Oryctolagus cuniculus: one gene and its partners. The protein of the gene in region 2 interacts with the protein of the main gene of each other region in a pairwise test. Links are inferred from orthologs where the notes say so. Each region holds a gene or a part of one and is shown on either strand. Other genes may lie near its edges. The genes, in order: KLHL42, DDI1 and CYGB.

Region 1 (9,979 bases), on a different chromosome or scaffold from region 2:
ATTAAAACAAAGTGGCCTCAGTTCTCCCAGACAATCAAGTACGTTGCAAGGCTTCCACAACCTGAAAACATGTCCCTGATGCCACAGCAGTGAGCCTGCCAGCTTGGAAGCAGGAAAGCGAGCCTGTGAGAGCTGATGCTGCAAGTCACGGCGAGGAGGATCAGGGGCTGAGGACACATCTAAGACAAAAAGATGCTGTGGCCTTTCGTTACCAATTACATGAAAGTAAATGCGAGGGAGATGCAGATCTACAGGTAAAGCAGGCAGAACGCGATACAGGGTATTTTATAATCCTGGCTTGCAGGAGCCTCTCCTGTGCAAGACACAAAACCTGCCAAACGTGACAAATCTATGAGAAAGGTCGGCTTCCTTCACCCGGGAATAGACCACAAACCCGAAACCTATACCGGGAGGCTCACAAGGCTGGTGCTGGCTGCATTTTGTTTGCTTTGCAAAGTTCCTGTGGATGCTGATGACTTGTTTGCTTTTAATCTATTTGAGAGGGAGAGAGACACAGACACAGACACCTCCTATCCTCTGGTTCACTCCCCAAATGCCTGCAGTAGCCAGGACTGGACTGGGGCCAGGACTGAAGTCAAAGCTGCAAGCCAGGAACTCAACCCAGGCCTTCCATGCAGACAGCAGGGACCTGGCCCAACTGGAGCCACCTCTGCTGCCTCTGAGGACCGGCATGAGCAGGAAGCTGGAATCCGAAGCACAGCTGGGACTTCAACATGGGCACTCTGATGTGAGACATACGCAGTCTAACTGGCAGCTTACCTACTAGCCTGATACCTCCCCTGCTTGTTTTTCAAGTGGAATGAGTTGCCAACATTTTAAAATAAGGATAATTAGGGCAGGCATTGCAGCACAGCAGTTTAAGTCAAAGATTGAAACGCTGGCATCCCAAATTACAGCATCAGTTTAAGTCCTAGCTGCTCCACTTCTGAGTCAGCTCCCTGATGATGCACCTGGGAAAGCAGCAGAAAATGGCCCAACTTCTTGGCCCCCTGCACCCACATGGGACACCCGAAGAAGCTCCTAGCTCCTGGCTTCAGATTGGCCCAGCTCCGATCACTGCAGCCACTGGCGGAGTGCACCAATAGATGGAAGACCTCTCTCTCTCTGTCTCTCCCTCACTCTCTGTAAATCTGCCTTTCAAATAAATACATACATCTTAAAAAAAAAAAAAAAGTGCCTAGGAAAGCAGCAGAAGGTGTCCAAATGCTTAGGCCTCTGCCATCCATATGCATGACCTGGATGGAGTTCTAGGCTCCTGGCTTCAGCCTGTCCCCTGTCCCCCACACCCGTCGTGTTCTGTAGGAGAATGAACCAGCAGATGGGGGAATCTGTCTCTCTCCCTATCACTTTGCCTTTCAAATAAATGTATAACTCTTAAAAATAAATTGGGGTATTCAGTTGGGAACACCAAGTTCTGACTTCCACCTGGGAATTACTGTAGCTGAGAAGGCACTATGGGGCAGCAGTTCTCCAATACAAAATAACTGTACAACACTACCTGACAAAAGAGATCCGTAAACGTACATGGAACTACTCAAACAAGAAAAATATAAGCCAAGTTTGGAAAACCTGGCAAAAAGCATTCAGGAAAGAAATACAAATGGCCAATAAAGATAGGAAAAGAACAATCTCCCTTCTAACCAGGGAAAAATCCCACCAGTGCTTCTGTCCATCAGACTGGGGTGGGGGTGCACATGATAATATCTGGTCTTGGAAAGCGTACAGGGAACTGGCAGGTCAAACACCATTGGTAGAGAGAAAATCAGAAGAATTTCTGGATGGGTAATTTGGCAGGAGGCACCCAAATGTCAAATGTGCATACACTTTACCCCACCTGCCCAGGGATGCCAGGAATGTGACATCTGGAATTAACTCACTTAAGCCGAATATACACCCCTAAGGGGTGCTCAATGTAACGCTGTTTATAATGGCACACAGAAGCAACCTGAGGTTCATGAACAAGGGAAGGGCTGATCACATTAGGGAACCTTCTCAAGGCTTCAGTGCATTAGCAGGGAGAGAGGCCTGCATCTGCTGACATGGAAAGCAACTCAGTAAAGCCCGCCGCTAAGGGGCCGGCGCTGTGGCACAGCAGGTAAAGCCATCGCCTGCAGTGCCGGCATCCCATATGGGTACCAGTTGAATCCCAGCTGTCCCGCTTCCAATCTGGCTCTCTGCTATAGCCTGGGAAAGCAGCAGAAGATGGCTCAACTCCTTGGGCCCCCTGCACCCATGTAGGAGACCCAGAAGAAGCTCCTGGCTCCTGGCTTCTGATTGGCCCAGCTCCGGCCATTGTGGTCAGTTGGGGCGTGAACCAGAGGATGGAAGACATCCCACCCCTGACTACCAAATAAATAAATCTTTAAAAAAAAAAAAAAAGTAGACTGCTAAGCAGAAACACCAAGTGCCACAACAAAGCGCACCCCCTGATGGCACCTGCAAGGTGTTACCCCTCTGCGCACTGAGTACTCCTATATATTCTTCCTTTTGCTATCAACATCTTTACATAACCATGCAATTATAAATTTATAGATGTTTGTATATTTAGAATATTTCAATATGTCCATACACATATTTTTCACTCTGTCGTTTTTCATGTCATTGACAAGTTTCCTGAAAAGTATGTATGCCAGTGGCTCCAATTTTCTTGTTTAAAAGCATAGAAAGACAATTCCCAGGAAAAAAAGGCAAAGAATATGAAGGAGGGTGGGCGCTTGGGACAGCAGACGCCGCCTCCTGGGATGCAAACGTCCCATATCGAGTGGCTCTGCTTCAGATTCCAGCTTCCTGCTAACGTGCACCCTGTGAGGCAGCAAGTAATGGCTGAAGTTCTCGGGTCCTGCCACCAACGCGGGAGACCTGCACTGGACTCCCAGCTCCTCGCTTTGGCCTGGCCCAGTCCAGGCTGATGCAGGCACTGGGGGAATGAACCAGCAGGTGGCAGATTTTCCTCTTTGCCTTTCAAAAAAAAAAAGAGAGAGAGAGAAAAGAAAAAAAATAAAAATGTATTTTAAAAAAGTACTACCAAGGATTTGTACAGAGGAAAAAACAACTTTTGGAGGCAGGCATTGTGGCACAGTGGGTTGAGCTGCCCACGTCCCACGTTGCAGTGCCCAGGATCGAGTCCCATCTCTGCTTCTGACCCAGCTTCCTGCCAGCGCACACCCTGGGAGGCAGCAGGTGATGGCTCAAGTCCTTGGGTCCCTGCCATCCACATGGGAGACCTGGCTCCTGGCTTAGCATGGCCAAGCTCTGGCTGTTAGGGTACTGGGGGAGTGAACCAGGAGGTGAGAACTGACACTCTCGCTCTATCTTTCAAATAAAAAGTACAAATTTAAAAATAAAAGAGGCTGGAAGAAAACGTGCTGCTCTGCAGTTACTGCCTCTAGGAGGCGGCGGGAGCAACAGTCTGGGTTTCTCTGCACTCTCCTATTTCCAGTGACTCCGCTGTTCTGTGTCACCAGGAAAGCAGCATACTTTGCAAAGCGAATTTTGCGGTGTGGCAGAACCCATCCCCGAGTCCAGCACCTGTGACGAGGACTCCCCACACTGTGAGGCCTGCAGTCCCTGCTCCACGCTTCCAGGCAGACGTATAAAGATGTCGATAGCAAAAGGAAGCTGCTTCCCTCCTTCTCTCCTTTCCTCCCCCCGCCCCACCACCTCTTCCTGTACCTGCTCTCAGCTTGGCCCCTTTCTCTACTACTTGCCCACCCACCGCAGGCCCCATGTTGCCTTTTTTTTTTTTTTTTTCCTTTCTTCAAGTCATTGTGGAGTTTGTAGACCTGGTAGGGAGATGGTAGGGGTGATAGGAATACAGTCGGCCCTCCATCTCTATGGAGCCAAATGAGGGGAGACAACACCCAAACCAAAAATCACGGGTGTACAGAAGGTGTACAGAATTTCTCTCTTGTTCCCTTAAAACATACAGCATACAGTCAGCGCTGTGGTGTAGCAGGGTGAAGCCTCCACTTGTGGCACCTGCATCCCATATGAGTGCTGGTTCAAGACCCAACTGGGCGCCAGTTCAAAACCCAGCTGCTCCACTTCCAATCCAGCTCTCTGCTAATGGCCTGGGAAACCAATGGAAGATGGCCCAAGGGTGTGGGTCTCCGTACCCTTGTGGGAGACCCAGAAGAAGCTCGTGGCTCCTGGCTTCAGGTTGGCCCAGATCCAGCTGGTACATCCATTTGCGGAGTGAACCAGTGGATGGAAGACCTCTGTCTGTCTCTTCCTCTCCGTCTCTGTAACGCTACCTCTCAAATAAATAAATAAATCAACTATCATGTACACAGCATTCATACCACAGGCATTACAGGCAATCTAGAGAAGACATAAAATGTTTGGGGCGGGGGAAAGGACACGCAGAGGTTATGTCAAACACTGCCATCTCATAGAAGGCTTCAGGACTGGTATCCGACTGGGTCCGAGAACCAGCGCCCTGAGTACAGCTAGGGTGGCTGGATTCCAATTCCACAGGTGACTACCGCCAGGCTCACCCTTTGGGTCAATGACACTGAGAAGGAAGAAGCAAAAGAGAGAACAAAAACTAAGACAGAATCCTACACAGCAAATTCTGGTCACTTTCCAGGGACTGTGTCCTGATCATATATTGGTGCTCTAGGGTGAAAAGCTTCAAAGTCACTGACAGGTTAAAAAAAAAAAAAAGGCACCCCAAGTCAGCATGACAGGTAACTGTCCAGTGTGTCTTTAGAATCACCATCAGAACCTGAAAACTAAAAAGAAGGAAACATCTGTAAAGATGAAACTTAAACAGCAGCCTTTTTTAAATAAACAGGCCCTTCTAGGAAGCCACATTGTTTTTCCCACCAGGAGGAAAATCGTGTTGCTTAAGAACACAAGACCTGCAAGGCAGCCACCCAGGCGCGCTGGCTGACCTCATCCTCCCGGGGCCTCTGCTCGCTGGGAACCCCGCCAACGCCAGAGCCAGCCCGGCTCCGGGGGTGTCATCCCTCCCCCACCCTCAGCACACCCCCAGGGGGCTGCCCAGCAAACCCTGGAGCAACGACGGAAGGAGTGGACCAGGGAGCTGCACGCCCAGCAGCAGCCCCGGGCCAGGCGCCTACCTCTTCTGGTTCATGGAAGCCACCTGGAGCCACTCGTTGGTGCTGGGGTTGTAGGAATGCGCAGCGGAGATCTCCTGGCTGGTGATCCTGTAGCCGCCCACGATGAAGAGGTAGTTGTCCAGAGTGGCCGAGCCGTAGCCCCTGACGTTGACCAGGTCCGGGGGCAGGTTGTTGGCCAGCGGGAACCAGCGCTCAGTCATCTCCTCGTACCTGAGCATGGACGGCGGCTCCCCCTGGTAGGGGTGCGGCGCCAGGGGGCCGCCCAGGAAGTCCCCCAGGGCCACCAGGACCGGGGTCCCCGTCATCCGGGCCTCCCTCAGCCTCTGCTTGAGGCTGACGTCCCCCGGAGCCGGGGGAGGCGACCCCAGCAGGTGGAACTGGGGCTTGCACAGCACCTCGTGGAAGTGCACGGCCATGAAGCGCAGGCAGGCGTCCTGCAGGTCGGGCAGGCCGTACACCTGCGCCAGGCGGTACAGCTCCAGGCAGTTGGTGAGCCGCACCTGGGACAGCAGCAGCTGCAGCAGGGACGTGACCTGCAGGAAGGAAGCCGCCTCCACGAGCGCGGCGAGCAGGCTCGCTTCGTCCAGCTCCTCCTCGCCATCGCCCGCGCCGCCCTTGTCCCCGCGCGGGCCCAGCTGCCAGCCCTCGCGGGCGCCGCCGGCGTTGATGAAGTCGAGCACGAGCCGCAGGCCCGGCGCGCTCAGGCCGCGCAGCTGCTGCACCTCGGGGCCGCCGGCCTCCGGGCTCAGGGCCTCGCGCATGCCGGAGCGGTAGAGGGCGCGGAAGTAGTCGCTCTGCTCGATGAGCTTCCTCTTGCTTACCGGGTAGCAGCGGCCCTCCAGGCGGATCTGCACCACCTCCTCGGCCGACATGGCTGAGCCGCCGCGCGCGGGGCCGCTGCCCGCCAGCTCTGCGCGCAAGCCCGGGGCCGCGCGGGGCGCGCCACGGCAGGGCGGCCCGGAGCGCGGGCGGGCGAGGGCGGCCGCGGCTGCGCCCGGCTTCCCGGGCAGCCCCTCCTCCCGGGCGGCGGCGACGGCGGCGACGGGGACTCGGGCCGAGCTCCTCAGCACCACCACCACCACCCCCGGGGGCGGCCCAGCCTGCGGGGCTCCCTCAGCACCAAAAAAGGCCGGGCCGCCGCGCGCGGGCTCCCCCGGCCGCCGCGTCAGGCGGGGAGGGAATCCCAGCCCGCAGCCGGCCGCCGGCAGCCTCCTCCCCCGCCGGCCCTCGCACTTCCGCCCGCCGGCCGCGCCGCGGCTGGACCCGGCGTGGGGGGCGCGCGGGCAGGTGCGGGCCGGGGCCGGGCTGCGGGGACGCCGGCGGCCCGACGCGGGGGAGCCCGGAGCCGGCCGCTCGCTCAGGGCGAAGGAAGGGGGAGCAAGCGTGACAAGGAAGGGCTGAAGAGAGTTCCGGGTCCGGGGGCCAAACCGGGGGGTCGCCCCCTCAAGGCCCAGGCGCCCGGAGCCACCTGTCCGGTGTGGTCGTCGAGCAGGAGCCATCTTGTGGGAGAAGGGCCCGGCCGGCGGCCCAGGTGGTCTGGGGTCCGGCGTCCTCGTCTCTCTTCAGGGACAGCCGCGGTCCCCCTCGTGTCCGTGAAGTCAGCCCACGTGCCCTCTGTTTTAGAATCAGGTTTTCCCACCACCTCCTTGTCCTACCCCCCCCCCCCCGTAAGAACTAGGAGGCAAAACCCTGTGCTTTTCCGCGTCCTCTCGGTTGCTGACAAACACAAAGATGGTACAGTCAAGGCCAGATCTGCGGATCCCACGGCGAGGGGAAGCCCCGCGCGCCACCCGGGGAGCTGCGGGCGGGCGCCAGGGGGGCAAAGCCAGGGGAGGTTTTTAAGGGCAAAATCGAGGATTCCCAGAAGACGCTTTGACCAGGAACGGGGTGCCAGCCAGTGACCGCGCGGAGGTCCTTGCACAAGTCCGTTTTGTGTTAGTGCCCTTTGTGCAAGCCCGCGTGGTTCAAGCGGACTCTTGGGGTCGTCACTGTCCAGCAGCAGCGGTCAGAACCCTAGCTTCCCTTATTTTTGTTAGGGTTGACACCAGCACCTCCGTTAGGATTCAGACAACTGTAACACTGCACGTGGCTGTTAGAAGACTCACCTCTACCATCAGCGCTCCTGACTTCGGAGAGGGACAGTCTGGTGACAGTGCCTTTGAATAGCGTTAAATAAAAATCACAGAAGGCCGCTGGTTTGGACTAAACTCCTCACTGTCATGGAGTCACTCACGCTCAAGGTCACTTCACCAGGCTGAGACCCTTCCATCACACAACCAGGTGGCCCTAACAGCCAGTTGCAGTTGGTTGATCACGAAGCCCCCACCCACCCACCCACACACACACGCCCCATCTTAATCCTTTTGTTTCTGCTCTCTTCAACCCCTTCTCTGTAAAAGCAGGCTTTGCATGGCTCACCGGAACAGTTACTCTATTTTCTGGAATGAAGTGTTGCTTGAATCTAGGATCCAAAATAAAGCCAGTTAAGATCTGCCCTTTGACAATATGTTCAGTAAGATCTGTAGGAGGCCACTAGTGTGGACCGAGCTCCTGCACTGGATGGACCAAAGTGGAGTCAGCCATGCTGCACGCCCCCTAGGCCAAATCCAAGTGGGTCCCACCCCAGGTGGCTTGCTGACCTCCCAGGAGAGAGAGAGATGGTGACCAAGTATCCAGGCAGGCTGGCTGGAGTCAGCCTTAGTAGGAAAGCCGCCTGTGCTTTAACCTTTACAAGAAAGGTTGTCAAGAACGGAACCTCAAATGCTGGCTCCTTGTCTGTTTCCGCTACAAACCTCTTCTACTTGGACCATGGAGACAGTCATTGCATTTTATGGAATGATCTGTTGCCTGATTCCAGAAGCACAGAAAGCCAAATGAGATCTTCAAATTAAAAAAAAAAAATTTTTTTTTTTTCAATGAGCTACACAAAGAGAAAGAGCAAGATCTTCAAACCAACTGTTCACTCCCCCAGATGCTGGGAGTTACACAGCTGGCACTGGGACAGCTGGAAGCCAGTAGCTGGGGACTTCATCCGGGTCTCCCAGTGGGTGGCTGGGGCCCAAGGACTTGAGTCAACACCTGCTGCCTCCCAGGGTGTGCATCAGCAGGGAGCTGGACTGGAAGCCGCGGTGACACTTGAACCCAGAACTCCAGTGTGAGATGCTGACATCTCAAGCAGCACCACAGTGCCTACCCCCCAAATTGAGGTCTTTGCACTAAACTTGCTCTTTTTGTCTTCTGACAAGGAGAAGGGTAAGGGACCAGGATTTGGGGGGGGGGGGGGCGGGCAGAGGGTTTGCTCCTTCTTTCCTTCCAACAATAGCAACAAAATGTAACTTCTCCAGGCCAAGATTTGTAAACTGAGTATGGATCTGGATTTCTGTTTTTTAATTACAGGCTTGAGCTTTCTTCTTGAATGGCGAGTTGTTACATAGTAACTTCTTCCTAAGTGCATCTCCCCCTTTCAAACTGAGATACAGCCCCATCATGCTGATGAATGTTTTATGCTAGGAAAAGGAGAAAGTGAAGCACTGGAAAAAAAAAAAAAAAAAAAACAACGTCTTGGCAATGAAATATGAACTCCACTGAGTAGTTACATTTTTACTTCTCACTGTGTAATTTTACTGCTTCATACTGAGGTGTTGTGTCTTTTTTGCTTTATGATACACCAGGAATAAGGAACTAAAATTTAAGCAACACAAATCATGCTGGTAGGTTCTTGCCTTCCTGGGAACAAGAAAGGAGACAAAAACAGATCTGTGATTTGCCCTGCTCAGTTCTTTTCTGCGATCCCTTGGAACACTTCTAGCCGTTCACCCTGTTTGACCAGGCCTTGAAGTCATCACTCACAGAACCCCACCCCACACCCACCTGTGACACCGCCACTCCCCAGGAGGATGCAGGGAGACATTCTAGGTGTGGGGTGGGAAGTGAGTGACCTTGGATGGAGCAGATTCTTTGGGAAGGGAACATGCACCGCCCACCCTGCCCACCAGCACCAGGCCTTACCCCAGGGGGGTTTGCCGGGAGGCACCCCTGCATCAAAGACACTCAGCCCTGGCAGTGTGTTGTGCTACAGTGAGCGACAACGCTAGACTCAGTGGCTCAGCCCTCAGTCCCTCCTCTGTCTCTGCAGACACTGTGCCAAAGGATGCCTTTGTTTCCCAAGTGTCACAGATAAGCCCCTGACCGGTGTTTTCTTACCTTTGTAAAGCGGAGCAGTGACTCACAGTGAGTGAGTGATGTGCGTTAGAAGGGCAATTCGAGCGCAGTCACGTGGTCAGGGCAGGAGCCGGTGGGACGAGGAATCTGGGGTGTCAGGCTCACAATTCCAGGCCCTGATCCTGCCGCCTCTAGGCCCCCACTCTGACAGTCCCCTCAGTTAGGGCTGGGAGGGTCATCAAAGATCCAAAGGTTTTAATAAATCACACAGTACAGTTTCTGTTAAGCCAGAAATGTAAAGTCAAAGCAACGGAAACTCCTTTATTTACATAAAACCCAAAATATTATCTCTAGGCTTCATGAAAATATTGCTTCCTCTAACAAATAATCAAAGCATATGGGGTGACTTAAATAAAAGTAGTACACGGTGTTAACATAGCTCTGTTCCATTCAGGCTGAGCATCCTCACATGGGCAAAACTTCCATTGGTTTCTGTCTCCTAGGTCTCCTAGGTCTCCAAGTCTCACCTGGGACACTTGGAAGCTGGGAGTCCTGGACCCCACAGTAGCTCTTGAATCATGCCCCTGGGGGAGATTAGAGGTTTTTAAGATATGGAACTCATTTACTTTTTTTTAAAGATTTGTTTACTTACATGAAAGGGTTACAGTGAGAGGGAGAGAGATCTTCCATTCGCTGGTTCAGTTTCCAAATGG
Region 2 (9,815 bases):
GCTGGAGTTGTGAGCAGAGCCATGATTCAAACCTAGGAACTCTGACATGGAATGAGGGTGTCGCAAGTGATGTCTTAACTGCAGCACAAAATGCATGACCATAGAAATATTTTTAAAATAGTAAAATGTGGACGTTATGGGGGGAAGCCATTGTAATCCATAAGCCGTACTCTGGAAATTTATATTCATTAAATAAAAGTTAAAAAAATATATAGTAAAATGTAATTTTAAAAATAACTGGGAAAGGTTAAAAGTTACATTATTTAAAGAATCTTGTTTGTTTCAACTTTATATGGAAAAGGTGACTTCAAACAGTTCACAGAAAATGGAATTAAATGAAAAAAGTAAGAAATACAAACTTTATTCCACAACATAAGTTTCATCAATATCAAAGCATTTTTGTAAGTAATAGTATCAGCTATTTAGTCTGTCCTTCAAGAAACAGAATGTCCCAGGAATATAACTGTGTCTGTGCAGTTCTTCTTACATTATTGACTAAAGAAAAATTGATGCTCTTTTTAATATTTGGAAAGAAAAATAAGGCAAACGGAACTTTTAGGGCTCTAATGCGGGTGACTAATGATGTCTTATTCAAACACCCACAAAGTTGCCTTCCTTTGGTGAGAAGACTGGCAGGAATATTGTTGTAGGGGAGCAGGACTCTGGTGACGTTTCCCAGGTATTTTTTTCTGCTAGAGCTTTGGCTTTCTCAAAATACCATCTTCTCAATCCGATGTTTCCATTCTCTGTGTCGCCAGAAGGTCAGTGAGCAGAACGCCTTGAGCTTCCCAGAAACCTATGGCCTCGACCTTTTCTTTTGAGCAGTGCCTTTTTGCTTGGACTAGACCACTGCTCCTCTTGGAAGACGTTGCTTTGATTGTGATTTGTCTCCACGACTGCACTGGTAAAGCCATGCTCTGTCTTCTCTTCCCTCTCCTTGAAGCAGGGCTTCATGATCCTGATCCCATTCATTTGATATTGCCATTGAGTGCTCTGTACATTTCTGTATCTGATTGAAGCTCTTCAGTTTTGGCACACATAGAACAGAAAGTTTGGTCCACTTTAATTCTTCAGACAGAATTATGGAAACTGAACCGATTCAGCTGTTTGTGGTGCTGCGTTTTGTCCGTGTTCATAATTGTTGATTTCCTTTAAGTAGGGCATGAATAAGATGAATTTTTTCCTCTCCAATTGATGCGGCTAGTTTGCCGCTGCAGGTGTCATCTTTAACATTATCTCAGCCCTTGTAAGACAGCTTATCAATTTGTAAGCTGTGGATTTCTTTGGAGCGTTGTCTCTGCAAAATTTGTATAAAGCAACGACAATTCCACCTTTCTTCTACCAAAGCTTCACCGTAAATTTGATGGTTTGTTCTTGCTTCAGTTTTAGCACAATTCTTGTTGCTCTGATGAGGCTTTTTTCAAATTGACGTCTTATCCTTCTTACTGCCCCAGAACAAGTCCTGTTCAAATATAACAATTTAGTACAAGTTTTGGTGCAAAAAATGAAATTCCTGTGTAATTTTTATTGATTGCATTTTCTATGAACATTTTGAAGACCCTTTTACATGCCCCCCCCTTCTCTCTCTCTCTCTTTCTCACTCTGTGTGTGTGTGTGTGTATATGTGTGAGACAGAATCACAATGTAAAATGCAATTTGTTATAAAAAAGAACATCAAATTTTAGATAACTTAATATTTGTAATTCTGAATATCACATTACCCATTTGTAAAATGAGGTTAATTATAACTATTTTCAAGGTTTATTCTGAGGATTCACAGAAATAATATATGTAAAGTATTTTATAAACCTGACTTACATAGAAGACAAGCAAAAGATGTTGCCTTTACTGAAAATAACCATTTAAAATTTAATTGAGTAGGACCCTTTCAAAAGTTTATATAGGATTACATCAAGATTTTTAAATCCATAAAATGAATTTTTAAAATACTTTCCAATTTGAAAGACATTTTTAAAAAAATTAATAAAGCATTGCTTAATTAATTCACTTTGTTCATTGATTTTTGAGGTCATGGTTTTTTAATTCAATAAAAATGTTTTTAATTTACCCATCCATTCACTCATGTAATATTTTTGCAAGTTGGAATATGCCCAAAGGATCATAGCAGAAATTTAATAGGTTCCAAGCTTGTTATATGAGAAACATTTAAAGAATTTTAAAAAACCCTTCAAAAAGACCAGTATGATATTTATTTCATATAGAAAAGGATTTCCTCATGAAATAAAGAATAAATGTATTAGCAGAGAGAAGAGTGACAGTCACAATATTAGAAGTTAGATGACAATGCATTTTAGCCCAAACTAAGAAAATATATACGTGATATTTGTTCTGAAACATTATAGCCACCTCGGGACGTATGTTCCTCTGAGAAGACATGGTGAGTGTGCTCATATCTGACATCACGTAAACTGTCTTCTGCCTTAAGCATTCTCTGATTTTTAGATGCCATTATTGGACTAAACATTCTGATAGACTACAAGCTAAACTTTCATTGACAGTGAACATCATTTGACATTGAGGAGTCCCTTGTAGTATTTGCAAATCAATGTGTTCTCCATAAATGGATTTTAACATCGAGTCCAGAAGATTGGAGACTGAGCATGGGAATACTTGTAAGGTGGGAGTAGACTGATGGTGGAAGGAAAGAGGGATGTTCCTTTTCAGTAGCCTTAGTGAATGCTTCAAGTGGTTTTTTGGTATTATTAGAAAAAAAGTAACAAATAATATCCTGTATCATAATATAGTTTTAGCACTTTAAAAGTGGCTCCCCCAACCAAAACCATTTATAGATGGTGCATACGAGTAGTAAAATAGATCAACTGATTTGTCTTAATTACAAAAGGCTAGGATTATAACACACTTGTTTACTTTCAGTCCACCATTGTTTCTGAGTCTTGATGAATTATTGTCCTGAAGCCTTTCTACTTGAATCTGATGGCAAAAGGTGGCTGCACCCTTTCTCTCGGGTATTTTAGGATTCCTCATTTCCCACTGTGAATGAAGAGTAGCTTTGTCAGGGTGGATCAGAGAGCCCGATGGTGTCTCGTATGTCATCTCATTCAGGTATTTCCAAATAATATTTTAACAGTGAAACCCCTTGTTCAAATAGTATTTATGGAATAGAAGCTTTCTAAATAAACCAGATTTCTTTGTAAAACAAACAAACAAAAAGATGAGCTTGTTGAAATGAGTTTTAGGGGAACTAGACCACTACTTGTCCCCAGTGTCCACATTCCTACCACCATGCAACCGCTAAGCTCCCTAGAAATATCATAACTTTAAAAAGGAAAGCTGACTCATCACCTTTGTTTTACAATTAGGGCTTCTTTGAATCCAGGGGAAAGAGAAACCTATGTTAAGTATGGTAGGAGGAAAATGTGCTTTCTCAAATATGACAAAAATACCTTGTAAGGATGGGTGGCATTGAGCATGGCTCCAGGGGAAGGAAAGTGGTAGGTCACGAGTTAAGTGGCCCCTCTGCTGTCTGAGACATACTTAGCAAGTCTTAATCAACTCAAAAGTATCATTGACCCATCATGCCTTTCCCAAAGAAAACAAACTCTATGAATACAGATATATGTCTCTCCGTATAAATGTTTGGGTTGTGAGATCACTTTCTGTTGATGTTTTGTAAGGTCTGCAGCAATGGCTATTTCCAGGGACTTTTGCACAGTAACAGTTGGTTTGGATAAGCCACCTGCAATCTGATAGAAGGGTGTCTGATAGGAAGAAGCTGGCTTTCCTTTTCAGGGATTGTCAGGGAGCCAGCTGCTTCCCCCAGAGCCTTCCCAGGGTGAGGGTCAATGATCTGGGAAAAAGGGAAATGGAAAGTGGGGCCAAGACCAAGCAGTGAGCATTTGTGTAAGTACCCATCTGAGATGAAGTTCCCCATCATAGTCCCAAGGCCAGGCTTAGTTGTTACTGATGTTTTTAATGATTACATTGCCAGTGAGCTCATGTCTTATAATTTCTGGGACCTGAAGCATCCTCAAGGTGGTGACACATTTCCAACCTGCTTCAGTGCTTCTTTCATCCTGAATCCTTGAGTGAATGCTTAATGGTGTTTGCCGTATCCTTGTCTGAAGGCTCTTCTTGCCCGGTAACACTTACCAGCTTAGCACAGGGGGGTAACTCTCCCTCAGGAAGAAAGGATGTCTGTGTGCCAGTGGTGCCAATCACCAGCACATTTTTCTTCAAATCGATGGAACACTGATGCCTCTTCAGCATATCTAGTCCAAGAAGCATGTCCATGGGCTGCTCCTCAAGTATAGAGAAAGAACATTGCAGGAAGTCTCCTTCAATCTGAATTTGAGCTAAATGAACGCGGCCGATGATTCTTTGTGTGCCCACTCCTTTAGCCACTCCAGCCCATCGTCGGTCCACCAGTCTTATGATGTTGCATCTCTCCGCACACGCTTGGCTCATAATGGTCATCTGGGCACCCGAGTCAACAAAAGCCTTCAAAGGATGTCCATTCACTTTGCAGTTGATATAGAGCATTGCCACTTGCCCAAAACTCTCGGGGGCCTCTTCCATTGCTATATTCATGTTTTCTTCAATGTTCTGCTGCCGGATTTCTTCTTCTATTTTGGCCTGAGCTTCCCTATCAAATGGGTCCGCGGAGTAGAGACGAAGCCTCTCTTGCTCTCGCAAGGCCCTCTCCCTCTGCTGCTCCATCAAGACCTGAGAAAATGTTTCAAGGTTCCCGCTGAGCAGAGCTTCTGCCAAGGAAGGGTTGCGTTCCTTCAGCAGGGACAGGTCGTGAGGATTGGACAGCAGCATGCTACGGATCAAGGCTGGGCTGTCCAGACCTTGAGCAGATGCCATCTTCTCTCCAGAGGCCAAGCCGTGGGAATGACGAGCAGAAGGCGCACACGGTTGCTGCACAGGGGGTTGCTGCTGCTGCCACCGAGAGCCTGATGTCCCAGGCGTGGCGATTCCATTGAAATCTGTTCGAGGCTGGTTTGGAGTCCGTCCTGGAAGCCTAGGTCCCACATTCTCCTTCTGGAGTAATACAATGACATCACCGTCTTTGAGGCCGTAGGAGCCCAGGGAACAGTGGTCATCAGCGAGGAGGTGCTCCATGTAGATGAACTGGGTCTCTTCGGCAGGGATTCTGGACTCTGTCTCACACAGGACTCGGAAGTCACGGAGTTCAAAGTCAGGGCTGACCTGGAGGGAGAAGGTTACCTCGGAGAGGTCCCTCCGCACACAGTACACAGTGACGAGCATGGCATGGGCCCAGCAGGGCCAGGCGGGCAGAGAGCATCAGGTGGTTCGCTGACTGACAGGATTGGTCTCTGTTGTTGGTGTGGTTCCTCCTGGTGACCTGGTGTATTGCTTATTCACCTCCAGGGGAGGCTTGGCCACTTGCTGGTTGGGGGTGTCTCCCAGCCTCAGCGCCTGCTGTGGAGCCTGATGGAGCTTGAAGGGAACATGTTGAGTTCTTAAGTTCCTTGGTATGTGTGCTGTTTAGAACGTCAACTCCTATTTCCATGGAGACAAAGTTCCTCAAAGACAGTAGGTTCCAAGGCCAACCCTTCATAGACTATTTCACATAGGATCTGAAGAATATAACTTCATCTATTCTTAAATGACATTAAAATTTACTTTATTCTTCTTAGAAATGTATTCTATTTACTTTTACTAATTCCCCAAACAATGAGAGCTTGTTTCCTACCGTGCTACGTGCTTAGTAGGAAACATAAATCAGACTTGCTACCTACCCTTGAAGATTTCATTCTGGAAACAGATGAATGGGGGAGAAGGTAAATAACAACCCAAGAGGTAAGTACATTTACAAAGAATTGTTTATTTGAATAGCACCTATAGTGCTATGAATAGAACAAAGGATTTTTCTCTAAGCAGAAGAGGACACAGTCTGTATGTTGAAGGATGACATTTTCCAGGTGAAAAGTGATGAAAATTACTCCAGACAAAAGGAATTGCTTGGACAAAGGCAACAAGTCATTTTATTTATAGAAAAAGTGAGACCATTATTGAAATGCAAATGTGTATACAGTTTTTGATGGTAGCCTATGAAGCTAGAGAAAATTGTCAAGTCAATTTATGAAAAGTCATCTGTATACCCAAGGCATCTAAATATTTTCAATATTCAGGAATCCCCTATAAGAAGAAGGTTGGGCAAAGAGAGAAAGTGGAACAAGAAGAGAGAGAAGGGGAGAGGAGCAGAAGAAATGAAAATGATTTAAAGCAGGAATTCTCAATTTTTTCATCCAGTTGACTTAAGGTAGAAGGTTTCTGAAACATGCGAAGAACATTTGGTGGCAGGAGAGACTTTTAGGAATGTTTTTTTTTTTTTTTTTCAGTAGTTCAAAGAGTAAACTGTTGCTAGAATCTGAAAGTCCAAGGGAGAACTAAAGCCAAACAGTGGAGAATAAAGTGTTTCTTGAGTAAAATGGACAGGATGTGTTTACCTATGGAAGTATGTGTTTACCCATGGGTGTGGCTAGTGTTGAAGCAGCAGAGTGTATGGAAAACAGAGGGCCTCTAAAATGGGAAGACCTGGTAGAAATTGGCCACTGCTCTGAAGGGATGACTCGGGTGAACTTCTGTGGTAACCAATTTGACATTCAGTAGTAAAATTCAAGGCAAATGCTACTCTTGGGGCCAGTAATGCCTCTCTCTGACTCTAAGCAACAGCCACCATCACCCACATACATATATACCAGTGTAGAGGCTTCCAGGGTCAAGGTTAAGAGGTCTTTCCAAGAAAATGATGATTGAGTAGTAATTCTTGAGTGCCATTTAATTTTTGCTATATTTCATATACTATTTTGCACTGTGAAGATCTCTCTCCCATTTGTACACTTAGGAACTAAAAGATATTAAACATTCTGTGCTTGTAGCAACCTCCACTCAAGATTTTCTGGAAAGTCTACATTGTTACAAAGAGAAAGGTGTTGGTTTTTGTTGGATGGAAGACTATTCTCATTCAATGCTCTAATTACCATAGTATTTCCAAAGTCATATGCTCTGCTATTAGAAATGTTGACTGAATGTCCAGTGTATGTGAAGTATGAGCTGTGTTCACAAGGATAGGAACACGAGCAGTGTTAAATACAAGCTGCGTTCTTAAGGAAGCTCGCAGTGTAGAAGAGGATACGTTCACACACAGAAAAACTGGGGGAGAGGGAGAGGACAAAACAGTAGCACAGTAGAAATCTGCAGAGTGCAGGGCAAATCAGTCCATCTGGAGAACAAATGAAGATGATGATGGCTGGGCAGGGAAGGCTTCCTGAATGAATGGGGACTTAAAAGCATGATAAGGACTCAGCCGTGCGTGGATGGGCTGGGATGAAGAAACAAAGGTTGAGAAAGAAAATGACTTGTCTTAGAGACTTTAATTGGAAAAGCAGAGTTTCATGATATGAAGGATTTTATTAAAAATATTAGGGAAAAAAAAAAGCCTAACATCTTAATTTCCCTGTAGGAATATGCCTGAATTACTTTTCAATATCTGTAGAGGAACGGTACTTTGACCCAACAATATTAAGTCAGTTTCTTCTGTCCTTCTTAGAAGCTCATCAGAAATTAATAGTGGTTTCTCATGAATTTGGAAATAACAGTGATATTAGACATCCGTGCAAAGTACTTTGCTAAAGAACAGACTGAGAAGCCAATAGGACTTGGATTCAATATTCCTACCCCACCCCACCTCCCAAGTAGCTTTGGACAGTTTGTTCTTAAAACTAAAATAAGTTAGGGAGATAATAGTACGGTTTTTGTTTTTCTTAACTAATGAATGAAATTATTATTAAATAAGTATTATCATGTTTTCTGTTGGTAAAGCAAACATTGAGGATTCAAGTTAAAATAAAAAGTAGCATTTTTTTCCATTTTACCATTGCTTTGATACTGAACATATGAAATATTGCATGTATGTTTTATTGCCTTTCTATAATTCTTTACTTTTGATGGCTCTTTGCATTTATATGGGTTTTATTATTTTATCTTTTATTGGGAATACATACTGAAAAGCAAAAGCCTCAAGATCTGGCCAAGATCTGGCCAATCTGTCATTTCGTAGAATATAGGATGTCAACATTTACAAGAATCCTTTGGATCCTGCAGTCCAGCTACCCATGCAAGAAACTGTTTAAAACTCTGTTGTGAAACAGCTTGGAATCTGAAAAAAATAAATGCAGTCTCTTGGGGCTAATACTTCTGTTCACGCGTTGGTCTTCCCTTTCACTCGGCACTGTTGGTGATTCCAATGCCATATGTGTGATTCTCTTAACTCTAAATTTAAACTTAAAAACTTCTGTTCCTAACTTAATAAACTTGAAGATAACTGGGAGTATATGTAAATACCACTAAACATAAATTTTGTAATTTCATGAATGCCTAACACACAGACTGCTGAGAAATAGAGGACCTGAATTACATAGGTAGCTGAAGGGTATTGCAGCTTTTCTCGGAAAGTTCTTTATATTCTGTTTCTTCCTTGGTAAGTACAATATCAGAACGTAATTTAATCTTTCGTTGATAAGTGAGATTTTTACAAGGTCCTAAGGCTATCACTCAGAAAATCAATTCTCATTGTATAGCCTAAATATCCAGAAAATAGAAAAGATGACACTGATTTCATACTCACCAAGTAAATAACTCTAAAGTTTTTTCCAATAAAGCTGCTTAATACCTTTTATAATTTGGCTCTTTCTAAAAACTTAATACAGAAAAAAAAAAGAAGTCCAAGTAATTGATAATTCCACTCAGTATATATAGAGTCAGTTGAGCTGTAAAGTAATACCTATTGCTTTACAAAACAAAATAAACTTTTGTGTGTGTGTGAAAACACTAGACTATTTATTTAATTTTTTTAGATTTTATTTATTTATTTGAGGCAGTGAGAGGTAGAGACAGAAAGGTTTTTCAGCCACTGGTTCACTCCCCAAATAGCCACAACAGCCAGAGCTGAGCTGATCCGAAGCCAGGAGCCAGGATCTTCCTCCAGGTCTCCCACACAGGTGCAGGGGCTCAAGTGCTTAGGCCATCTTCCACTGCTCTCCTAGGCCATAGCAGAGAGCTGGATCAGAAGAGGAACAGCTGGTACTAGAACAGATACCCATATGGGATGCTGGCACTGCAGGTGGTGGATTAACCTACTGCAACACAGCACCAGCCCAAGGGTATTTATTTAAATGTCATTATGGGGCAGGTGTAGTGACACAGTAGGTTAAGTCACTGCTTGAGATGCCTATATTGCATATCAGAATGACTGGTTTGAGTCATGGTTTCTCCACACTTCTGATCCAGCATTCTTACTAATAATCCTGGAAGGCAGTAGGTGATTGCCCAAGTATTTTGGTTCCTGCCACACACATAGAGACCCAAATGGATTTACAGGCTCCTGGCTTCAGCCTGATCTGGTACTGGCTATTGAAGGCATGTGGGGAGTGAACCAGTAGATGGAAGGTTTTTGCAATCTTGCTTTCTCATTCTCTCTCTCTCTCTTTCTCTCTCCTCTATGTCATTCTTCCTCTTAAATAAATGTCTTTTTTGTAAATGTCATTGTGCAATGTATACAATAGTTAAACCATCTGAGGCAAACATATTTGTTTGCTAAGCTGTGATTTCTTCATTTAAATGTGTGCCTGGTATTACTTATAAACTGTAATTGAAATTTACCAAGACAGTTAAATTATCACTTGAGATTTTCAATGCAATTTAGCAAAAATGCAGAATTTTTTAAGCTATACCCTTTGACTAAGCAACTAATTTTCCCATTGTTCTTTTATTTGCTTTATAAAAGAAAATAATTTGTATCACAA
Region 3 (9,762 bases), on a different chromosome or scaffold from region 2:
CCGAGGCAGGGCCGGCACTGCTCCCCTCCCTGCACCCCAGAGGCTGGGGCCGGGGTCCCCTGCTGCGCCCCAGGGAGCCCCCCCCCCCTGCAGAGCCTGCGGGCAGCTGGGGCACGCCTACCTTAAAGTACACGGGCTCCACCTTGTGCTTGAGGGCGTGGGCTTTGCCCACGAGTGCCAGCACGGAGGACACCTTGTCGGGGTCATGCAGGTTCTCCACCACCGTGTTGAGGGCCCCCATGACCCGGCAGGCGTGCTTCCGCAGCTGGGGGCTCCGCTCCATCTCCAGCGGCTCCTCCATGTGCTTGAACTGGCTGAAGTACTGCTTGGCTGAAGGGAAGTTCACGAAGAACCTGGTGGGACGGAGGGGCCGGCGCTGAAGCCGGGCTGCCAGAGCAGGAGGACAGGAGCCGTGGGCCGAGGAGTGGGCAGGAGCCACGGGCCCGAGGTGTGGGCTGGTGCCACGGGCCCGAGGTATTGGCAGGAGCCACAGGCTGAGTTGTGGGCTGGCGCCACAGGCTGAGGTGTGGGCTGGCGCCACGGGCCGAGGTGTGGGCAAGGAGCCACAGGCCCAGGAGTGGGCAGGAGCCACGGTCCGAGGAGTGGGCAGGAGCCACGGGCCGAGGTGTGGGCAGGAGCCGCGGGCCCAAGGTGTGGGCTGGTGCCACGGGCCGAGGTGTGGGCAGGAGCCACGGGCCAAGGAGTGGGCAGGAGCCACGGGCCGAGGTGTGGGCAGGAGCCACAGGCCGAGGTATGGGCAGGAGCCACGGGCCGAGGTGTGGGCTGGCGCCACAGGCTGAGGTGTGGGCTGGCGCCACGGGCCGAGGTGTGGGCAAGGAGCCACGGGCCGAGGTGTGGGCAGGAGCCGTGGGCCGAAGCCACGGGCCGAGGAGTGGGCAGGAGCCCCGGGCCGAGGTGTGGGCAGGAGCCGTGGGCCGAGGAGTGGGCAGGAGCCATGGGCCGAGGAGTGGGCAGGAGCCGTGGGCCGAGGAGTGGGCAGGAGCCCCGGGCCGAGGTGTGGGCAGGAGCCACGGGCCGAGGAGTGGGCAGGAGCCCCGGGCCGAGGTGTGGGCAGGAGCCACGGGCCCAAGGTATTGGCAGGAGCCATGGGCCGAGGAGTGGGCAAGAGCCACAGGCCCAAGGTATTGGCAGGAGCCCCGGGCCGAGGAGTGGGCAGGAGCCACGGGCCGAGGAGTGGGCAGGAGCCACAGGCCGAGGAGCAGGCAGGAGCCATGGGCCGAGATGTGGGCTGGCTCGCATCTGCCTCCATGCAGGTCCCGCCCAGGTCGGCAGGAGTTCCTGTCCCAGGCGTCTGCACCCATTCGCTCTCTTCTCCCGTCCAAAGTCTACCCGCTCCTCAAGCCCCCAGCCGAGACGGCTCCGGAGTCACCAGCCAGTGTGATTCAGGGCGAGGGGTTTAACGTTTCTGAGCCTCAGTATCCTCATCTATAAAATGGGCACGGTCATTCTGTCTCCTGGGTTGTCGTGAGGCTGAAATGAGAAACCACCCGCCTCGTGCCCGGTGCTGACACGAGACACGGTTTTGGTTGCAGCTGAACCAAGCAGAGCCTGGTGTGGAAGTCGGTTCAGGCTGCCCGGCAGGGGCGAGGACACTGTCTTCCTTCTCCTCTCTCCACTTCCCTGCAGTGATCGTTGGTCATTTTATTTAATTAGAAACGGCCCTTGGATTGGCCTGCCTGGCGTGGGTCCGGCATTACGTCGTGTGTGTGCGCGTGTGCCTGTACATGCGTGCGTCTCACCTCCCCGGCACGCCCGCTCCTTGCAGACCCCAGGCCCTCCTGGCCCCTGGCGCCTCCACACTCCAGCTTACCCGAAATGATCCGATTCCACCCCCCCCAAGGCAGCTTTCCTTGGGCCACTCCCATCCTCAGAAACCTTCAATGGCTCCCTACTGTCTACTGGACAAAGTCAAAACTCCTTAACAGGGCAAGGCAGCCTCTTACAAATGTGGGAACGCTCTCCCCCCAGCACACCTCGGTTCCAGCCAACAGCTCCCCTCACCAGCCCTCCGCGGGCTGCGTCTCCTTCCCGGCTAGCCCAGGCTGTCCCCTCCAGGCCCTCCCGGCTAACTTCCGTCTGTCGGGCTGGATCTCCGGCACCCTCCGCCCGGGCCCTGCGGCTGGCGAGCGTGCGGACAATCCACACCTCCTTTCCCAAGCGGGGCTGTCACGTGAGACACATGCACGGGCTCCGTCGGAACTTACATAACTTAACGGAACCCTCGGAAAACAGCCAGGCTGTCTGGGGCCTGTGTGCCGGGCGGCTTCACGCCGGGCGGCGTCCCCCTCGCCGATCCTTTGCCAAAGCGGCCCCTTAGCCAGAGATGGGCTGCAGAAGCGGGGGTGGGGGGTGGGGGCTGAGAACTTCCGGCCGGGCCACCCCTTCTGGCAACAGAGCTGCTGTATCCTTGTGGGCTGTGGGTGGGGGGAGTTCAGACGGAGACCAAACCGTTTCCCAGCTCTGAGTCCCACGCCTCATGGGACCCGGGTGAGGATGAGGGAGGCGGTGGGTTTGCCAGCTTTGCAGCGATGAGAGACCAGCCTGAAAAACCCCAATGTGGATGTCGCTGACCGCCTCAGCCTCTGGGGCTTTTTGGAATTGCAATTTAAAATTTACAAAATGCTCTTTCGCTTTGCCTTGCACGCGACAAGGTGCCAAGCATCTCAAACGGAGCGAGTGGGGATTCTACCCATTTTATAGATGAGCAAGCCACAGGCAAAGTTTCTTGAGCACTTGTTGTATACACAGCTCCCTCATCCCTGCCCCGCTGTTATCGCCATCCTGGGGACGGGAAGGAGCCCAGGAGGGGCCCTGCCACCTGCATAGGCTGCTGGTCAGGGGACCGTGCCTGGGGCCGTCGCCTGCTTTACACTCAGGCCAGGGTGTGGCCCTGAGGACAGTCCCCGGGCGTCTGGGCCCTCTTGATCCCAGCCTCCCCGGCCATTCCTGGGGACTTTCTCCCTTCCTGGAGGCATCTGGGCTTCCAAGAGAGCCTGAAATAGGCTTGTCTGAGCGTGGGGGGGAAGGCGGCCGAGTTACAACCAGGAGGGAGGGTGGGCGTTCCTCCCCCCAGGCCTCTTCCACCACCACCCATGTGGCCGCCAGGGGGGGCCTCACCCCACCGGCCTGGTGGGGATGAGTGAGGGGCAGAGAGCTGGTCTTGTGGATGTGTGTCGGGTGTGGGAAAGGGGGGGAGTTGCGACAGGTTCTGGGGACCCTGAGGACGGCTCCTGCCCTAACCCCTTTCTATCCCTCCGTCGCTGGCCAGGCCTGGGGCATGGGGCTGGCGGGGAGTGGCTGCCCCGGGCTCCGGTGGACATGAAGGAGTGAGCAGCGGCCCCAGCCGAGCCTTCGCAGATGAACGGTGGGCCTTTCTCTGAACACAGAGTGCTTTGGGTAATGCCTCTCCCAGCCCGGGCCCAGCCCATCCAGGAGTCAGAACAGGGAACCAGGAGTGGGTGCAGAGAGAGAGAGAGAGAGAGAGAGAGAGAGAAACAAAACCTCCCAGGAGCCCAGACCATCCCAAACAGAGCTCATGGGTTCGGCTCCTCTGCACCCCTCCGAGGCCAGGCGCCTCGGCGGCACATGGCAGGGCCCAGGGACAGAAATTCCCCGGGGGTCTGGGAACCCTGCCTCATTTCCCCTCGGTGACTTCCGTGTGTGCCAGACCCACGGCTGCGGGGGCCCCTCGGGGCTGCCAACTCTGGCGCATCTGTGGCTCTGCTCCCGCTTGGAGTCTGTGGCTTCAGGATCCTGGCCCCTCTCACCCCCCCCCCACCGCTGTCTCTGGGCCCGGAAGCAGCTGGCACAGACGCCCCTTCCTTAACTCATCGGAAGTGGAATCAGGGCAGATCGGCGTGCTGCGGGGTAGGTCCCAGGTGTGGGGGGAGAGCGTGATGGGGAGAAGAGGAGCCAGAGACGGGGCCGGGACAGGGCGCCAGGTGGGCATGGAGCTGTCCTGACAGATGCCAGTTTCGTCCCCTCTTCGTGCAGCAAGCCTGCCCGCTCCGTCCTCTGTCTGACAGCTCCCCTCTGCCACGGACAGGGGGCTTAGAGCGCCGGTGGCCTGGCGCCTCGAGGCCCGCACCCCAGGGACCAGCAGGCGTGGGAAGAAAGCATCGGTGGTCACCATGGTCAGTTAGTGGCTTGTGGGGCTTGGGAACAGGCGCTCTACAGGGATGCTGCCCGTGCACCCTGCACAGGTGTTGTGTCCGTGGGTCTGTCGGGGACACCTGGAGCCGGAATGACCCCAGAACCCAGGTGGGGGCTTCAGGGCGGGGCCCCTCTCCAACTCAGCGGGGGATGTGTCCTGGAGGATGGCTTGCTGCTCCACTTACCTGTGCCTCACCTGGAGCGCACGGCTGGCCGGCCCTCCCTTTGGACAGCGGGGAGAGCCAGGTCCCCCTGGCCTCCACTCTCTCGCCCTCTGCTCTGCTCCTTCCAGAGGGTTGAGCTGAGAGAACTCTGCCCCTCTGTGTCCTCCTCTTCGGTTGCACCTCAGTTTTCCTGTCTCTAAAATGGGGATCCCCTACTGCCCCAGAAAAATGTGTGTGGGCCTCACAGCTCGTGGGGGAGGTGGTGGCGGTGGCCAGGAAGGCAACCGGCTCAGAGTCTGAGCCAGGAGTTCCGAGGCTGGGGAGAGGCGGGATCCGAGGGGCCCTCCTCCTGCACCCCAGTGGCTGGGAGCCCTACCCCGGAGCCAGCAAGGGCTCATCCAAGGCTGCGCCCCACGCTGCCCGCGCTCTGAACGGCCTGGCCCCAGTCGCGGCTGGGGAGGTGACGCCGGAGCTCGCCCCCGGGCCGCGACCGCCCTCCCTGCACAGGGCCCGGCCGGCCGGGGTGACACCTACCTCACCAGGATGGCCACCCCCACGTCCTCGCAGTTGGCATACAGCCGGGCCCAGGTCGCCTGCACCGCCTTCCTCTCCGCCTCGGACAGCTCCTCGCTCCGCTCCCGGCGCTCCATCTCGCCGGGCACTTTCTCCATGAGCAGCTGCAAGCCCAGCCCGGCTTCGCTCGGCGGCGGCGGCGGCGGGGCGCGGGGAGCCGGGGCCGGCTGCGTGCGCGGCGGGCGGGCGGGCGGGCGGGCGAGGGGCAGAGCGCCGGAGGGAGGGAGCGCGTGTGTCTGTGCGCGCCGGGTGTGCGCGCGAATGTGTGTGTGTGAGTGCGGGGGGCGGGGGCCCGCCGGCGGGGGGCGGGGATGTGGTCTGCTGGGAAAATGTTTAAAAAAAAATAAATACGTTTCAAACCCCTACCCCGCGTCGGCGAGCCAGTTCCGGCAAGGTGAAGGCTGGGCGGGGTGGGGGCGAGGCGGCGGGCACTCGCCCGCCCCACCCGCCAGGCCGCGGTGGGGTCGACCTCTGGGCGACGCCGGGGTAGGTGTGGCCGGCGTGCTGGGGGTCTCCCGGGGCGCGGCGGTCACGCGGCGCCGGCTGCCCAGGAGTGCGCACCGCGGGTGCGGGTCCGGGACCGCCGTGTCCCGCTCTCGCCGCGGGCGCAGCCGGGCGTGTGTGCTGTGTGCACCCTTTGCGTGGTGGGGACTGGACTCGAAGTCGATTCCTCCCAGGCATCGGCGGGGGCTCTCTCCCGCCATCCCTGCCAGGAGGTCATGCCAGCCCCTCTGGCGCCCGCTGCGGACCCTGGCCACTTCCAGTGCGCAGGACCCCAGGCCCAGGAGGGGTGAAGGCTAGGGTCGTCTCCCCGCGCGCCTGCCACGCCCGGGGTCGTCGGAACCTGAGCTCAGCCGCCAAGGGTGCCCAGGCCTGCACCCCCTTTCCTTCCGGCCAGCACAGGCTGGGGAGATCTGGGCACCACCCTGACCTCAGGGCCCTGGGTGTCCAGAAGCCCAGAGGAAGGCCCAGGTCATTGGAGACGGCCCAGCCACCACCAGCTGCAGGGCTGGGGGAGGAGGGGACAGACTTCCACAGACTTCCTGGGGATGGCCAGGCCCCACAGCAGGTGTTCCAGCACGTGTGGGGTGACCCTGGCCTGCTCCAGGCCTGGCGTCCCGCCGCCCAGCCGGCCGTGTCCTCCTCCACTTGGGTTCCTGTATTTATTTTAACAATCTTGTTTCAAGGTCAAGCCTGGGCTCTTCCAGGAACTCAAGGTCCAAGTGCTCCATCTAATGACCGCTGGGTTCCTGGACCAGGGAAGGAGACCGTGTGGGCTCGGGTCCTCTCATCCCACTCTGCCGCCAGGCTCCACACACACTCACCTGCGCCGATGGCGTCCCACGCGGCTGCCCGAGAGGTGCCCCTGGGATGTGGCTGGGCTCCCCTTTTCCATGGGGTTTCAGCTCATCCTTTGCGTGTGTCCTGTGCGCGGTGTGGGGACGAGTCGGCACCCAGTACCGCATCTGTGAGCGCAGGCTGATTTCCGCCCTGGTCCTGAAGTGGGTGCCGGAGAGGATGAGACAGAGCAGCCTCCCTCGGGGTTCGCCTTGCTGGCTTCCCTCATCCTGCTCTGCGGCTGCCCTCGCTGTGGCATCCTTCTCCCGGCCGCTCAGCTCCGGTTCCCGGCAGCTGCCACAGCCCCGGCAGAGCTGTGAGGGCCTGGTCTTCCTTGGGCACCTGCAAAGTCAGTCGTCCCCGGCTCTTCTTGGAAGTCATCCCGAGACGCGAAGCTTCCCAGGTGTTCAGCAGGTGCCTTTAATAGCTCCCAAACCAGTCTGTTGCGGCATTAACCTGTCTGGAGTGTCAGCCCCTTGACGGCAAGACCTAAAGATTTTTTTTAAAGGATTTATTTATTTGATAGGCTAGAGTCCTAGAGAGACAGAGAGAGAGAGAGGTCTTCCATCTGCTGGTTCACTCCCCAAATGGCCACAATGGCCGGGACTGGGCCAGGCTGAAACTGCGAGGCAGGAACTCCAACCAGTTCTCCCTCATGGGGTGCAGGGCCCTAAGCCCCTGGGCCATCCTCCACTGCTTTCCCAGGCGCATTAGCAGGGAGCTGGATTGGAAGTGGAGCAGCTGGGACTCGAACCGGTGCTGCAGCATGGGCTGCTGTGCCACAACGCTGGCCTCAAGGCCCGCGTGCTCTCAGATCTGCACTCTGGGTAGTGCCCGTGTCCATTTATCCTGCCACTCGAGGGAGACCTTGGGCCCGGCCAGCTTAATCAGCCCTCACAAGGTCAGAGCTGCTGATCCCACTAATCAGCTTGTGCCTCCTAAATCCATCCCAACCAGAGCCTCAAGACAGCTGGCCAGGCCATCGTGGCCTCCGCCTGGGAGGGGATGGGGCAGCGGAGCCATGTGCACCACCCTCTTTGTGCTCAGCACCTTGGCCATGCTCTGGCGCCGCCGGTTTGCCAACCGGGTCCAACCGTGAGAAACCGCCTGGGCTCCGGGCAGGGGGTGGGGTGGGGGGGGTGATTGGGCTGGGCGCCAGCCAAGTGGGAGGAGGGCTGGACTGCCTGGACCCCCAGGCAAGGAGGCAGGAGACCTAGGAGGCTCTGAAAGGGGGGACCGTAAAACCTCAAAGGCACTGGGCTGCAGCCTCCTGCCCGGAGTCCAGCGTGGCCAGGTCGTGGGGAGCAGCGGGGCAGGGGGCCTGGGCACCGCCCACAGCCCTTCTCTCCCACAGAGAGCCCAGCGACGTGGACGGGGCAGTTACCAAGAGCTCCGACACAGACCTGCAGTCGACAGGCAGGTGAGGCTGGAGAGTCTGCTGGGTGTGTGTGTGCGCGCGCCCTTGTGCCTGCCTGGCTACTCCCCGGTCACCCCTGTGTGCCTGGCCAGCAGGCCAGGGGTCTGCTCTCTCCAGCTGGGGATGGAAGCCCCCATCCGCCTCGTGCGGCCCTAGACGTCGCTGCCCGCTGGCCCGAGTGCGAGGCGGTCCCCGGGGCGCCCTCCGTGGGAAGGCGCAGGGGAGCGGGCGAGGGAGGAGGCCGCAGCCGCCCTGCACCGCTGCGCCCGCCGCTCCCGGCCCTGCCCTCCCCCTCCGCCGCCCGGCCCCCGCCTCCGCGGCCCCGCGGCCCGAGCCGCCGGCTGGATTCGCCGCCTGGTGCCCAATAGCAGGCGCGGGAGGAGCATGACATCATCAGCGCCGCGTGCCATTGGCTGGGCCGCCCCTGCGGGCAGGACGCTGTCTCCAGTGGCCGGAAAGTTAACTCCTGCCTGGGCTGCGGCCATCTGGCCCTTAAGGGAGCGAAGTTATGGGAACTTCCTGCTTTTCCCTTCCCTGGGCCGCTTCCCAGCGTCCATGCATGACCGAGGTTCCCAACACTGAAAAGAAAATCAGCAAATTTGCATCAAGTACCTGCGGGCGACGCGCTCTTTCTGTGCCTGAAGACCCACGCGGGGGGGGGGGGTGGGTGGGACGTGTCTGAGACCCCCCCCCCCCACTCCCAGTGACAGGCTGAGAAGCAGAGATCCTTAGGCGGCTCCAGGGCCTCTGGCTTGTGTGTCCACACAGGGCACCGGCAGCAGGCCTGCCAGCCGTGCTCCGAGTCTCTTCCTGGCTGGGGAACCTGCCCGCCCCCAGCCCCGCTGTGTCCCCCTTGAAATGCCTCCTTGTCGCTGTGAGCGTCCTGGGAGCCTCCCAGGTTCTGATCGTCCCAAGGGCAGCCCCGGGCAACTTCGGGAAGCATGTGTCTCTGTGCCACTGTCCCTCGACCTGCAGGAGGGCTGGGGTCACCCTCATAGTGCCTGGCTGACATGAGTCAGGCTGACCCTGCCCACTGGTCCTCGCTGTGAGTTTGGGTCTCCATCCTGGCTCCCCTCTGCTGTCTGGGACACTTTGGACCGATGATGCGGCCAGGCTGTTTCCACGTAAACGCGGGTTAATAAGAGGTTAGCACGAGGGTTGGGAGCTGCTGCCCGGCCAGCGTGGGTGATTCTCGTGATTTTATGCCTGATCAGTGCGTTCTTGTTGCCTGACGTGGCTCGGACATGAACTCACTTGGAGGTCGCAGTAGCCTTGGAGGGCTGGCGGGACCCGTGTGTGTGTCCGTTTCCTGTTACTGGGTCGGGAAACTGGGGGTCCGGGGGCTGTGAGCGACTTTGCTTAAGATCACTCTAATTTGTGGCTCACCGGACGCCATCCGGCCGCCGACTTCCACGTGGACCCGGCCCAGACCTCCCGGCAGGAGAGGAAAGGCCAGATCTGGGGACCATCTGGCCGGGCCTGGTCTGGCGTGATTTAGCCAGAAGGAAGCAGTTACCTATTAACTCCTTGGGACCCAGTTAACTGGAAAAATCGGTCTGACGTCGGGGAATCACGGGCTGGTGGGGGGTGTGGCTGGGGTGTGATTTCTGCTCTCTAGTGCCAGGGTCACAAATTCCAGTGGGCTTCTTAGGTGCGCCTGCCCCGCGGCGTTGGGGCGGATCGCCGGGGGTAGGGGTGGAAGACGAAAGACAGAAGCGTGGGGAGTGGTCCGGTCAGGCCTCTGACTCTGCTCTCCTCCGTTTAGGGAGAAAGAGCCTCTGAAGTGAATTCTCGCCTCCTCAAGACCAGGATCAGCTGGCTCAGGCAGGTAGGGCAGGGCCGGGAGCCCCAGAGGGCAGAGGGCAGGGATGGGGCGAGGAGGGGAGAGTGCGAAGGCCACGGGGGACGCAGCAGGCGGTCCCGAGCTCCCGTGGTCGTTGGTGGAGGCTGGCAGCAGGAGGGTGGGATCCTTCATGCAGCTCCCACCTCCGGTCTGTTCTGTTCTGGGCCGCGGGGCAAGAGCCGGTTCGGAGACGGCGGGTGCGGTCTCGATGGCACCTTCTAGGCCAGGGGAGGAGGCTGGGGCGGTGCTTGTGG

Evidence for each region.
Region 1: the proteins of DDI1 (region 2) and KLHL42 interact in binary tests that used the Homo sapiens proteins (3 or more experiments, as listed by UniProt). The two-hybrid records come from large-scale screens. The link is inferred for Oryctolagus cuniculus from reciprocal best matches to the Homo sapiens genes DDI1 and KLHL42.
Region 3: the proteins of DDI1 (region 2) and CYGB interact in binary tests that used the Homo sapiens proteins (3 or more experiments, as listed by UniProt). The two-hybrid records come from large-scale screens. The link is inferred for Oryctolagus cuniculus from reciprocal best matches to the Homo sapiens genes DDI1 and CYGB.

What each region holds. Positions count from the first base shown.
Region 1 is NC_091440.1:124,895,697-124,905,675, reverse strand, and holds the start of KLHL42 (kelch-like protein 42), read right to left. Parts: upstream 6,059-9,979; 5' UTR 5,978-6,058; coding exon 5,106-5,977; intron 1-5,105. UniProt on the Homo sapiens protein: Substrate-specific adapter of a BCR (BTB-CUL3-RBX1) E3 ubiquitin-protein ligase complex required for mitotic progression and cytokinesis. The BCR(KLHL42) E3 ubiquitin ligase complex mediates the ubiquitination and subsequent degradation of KATNA1.
Region 2 is NC_091432.1:95,772,171-95,781,985, reverse strand, and holds the start of DDI1 (protein DDI1 homolog 1), read right to left. Parts: upstream 5,487-9,815; 5' UTR 5,254-5,486; coding exon 4,051-5,253; 3' UTR 1-4,050. UniProt on the Homo sapiens protein: Probable aspartic protease. Seems to act as a proteasomal shuttle which links the proteasome and replication fork proteins like RTF2. Required, with DDI2, for cellular survival following replication stress.
Region 3 is NC_091448.1:4,249,740-4,259,501, reverse strand, and holds the start of CYGB (cytoglobin), read right to left. Parts: upstream 6,375-9,762; 5' UTR 6,307-6,374; coding exon of another isoform or gene 6,236-6,306; intron 6,215-6,235; exon of another isoform or gene 6,161-6,214; 5' UTR 5,009-6,160; coding exon 4,872-5,008; intron 354-4,871; coding exon 122-353; intron 1-121. UniProt on the Homo sapiens protein: Probable multifunctional globin with a hexacoordinated heme iron required for the catalysis of various reactions depending on redox condition of the cell as well as oxygen availability.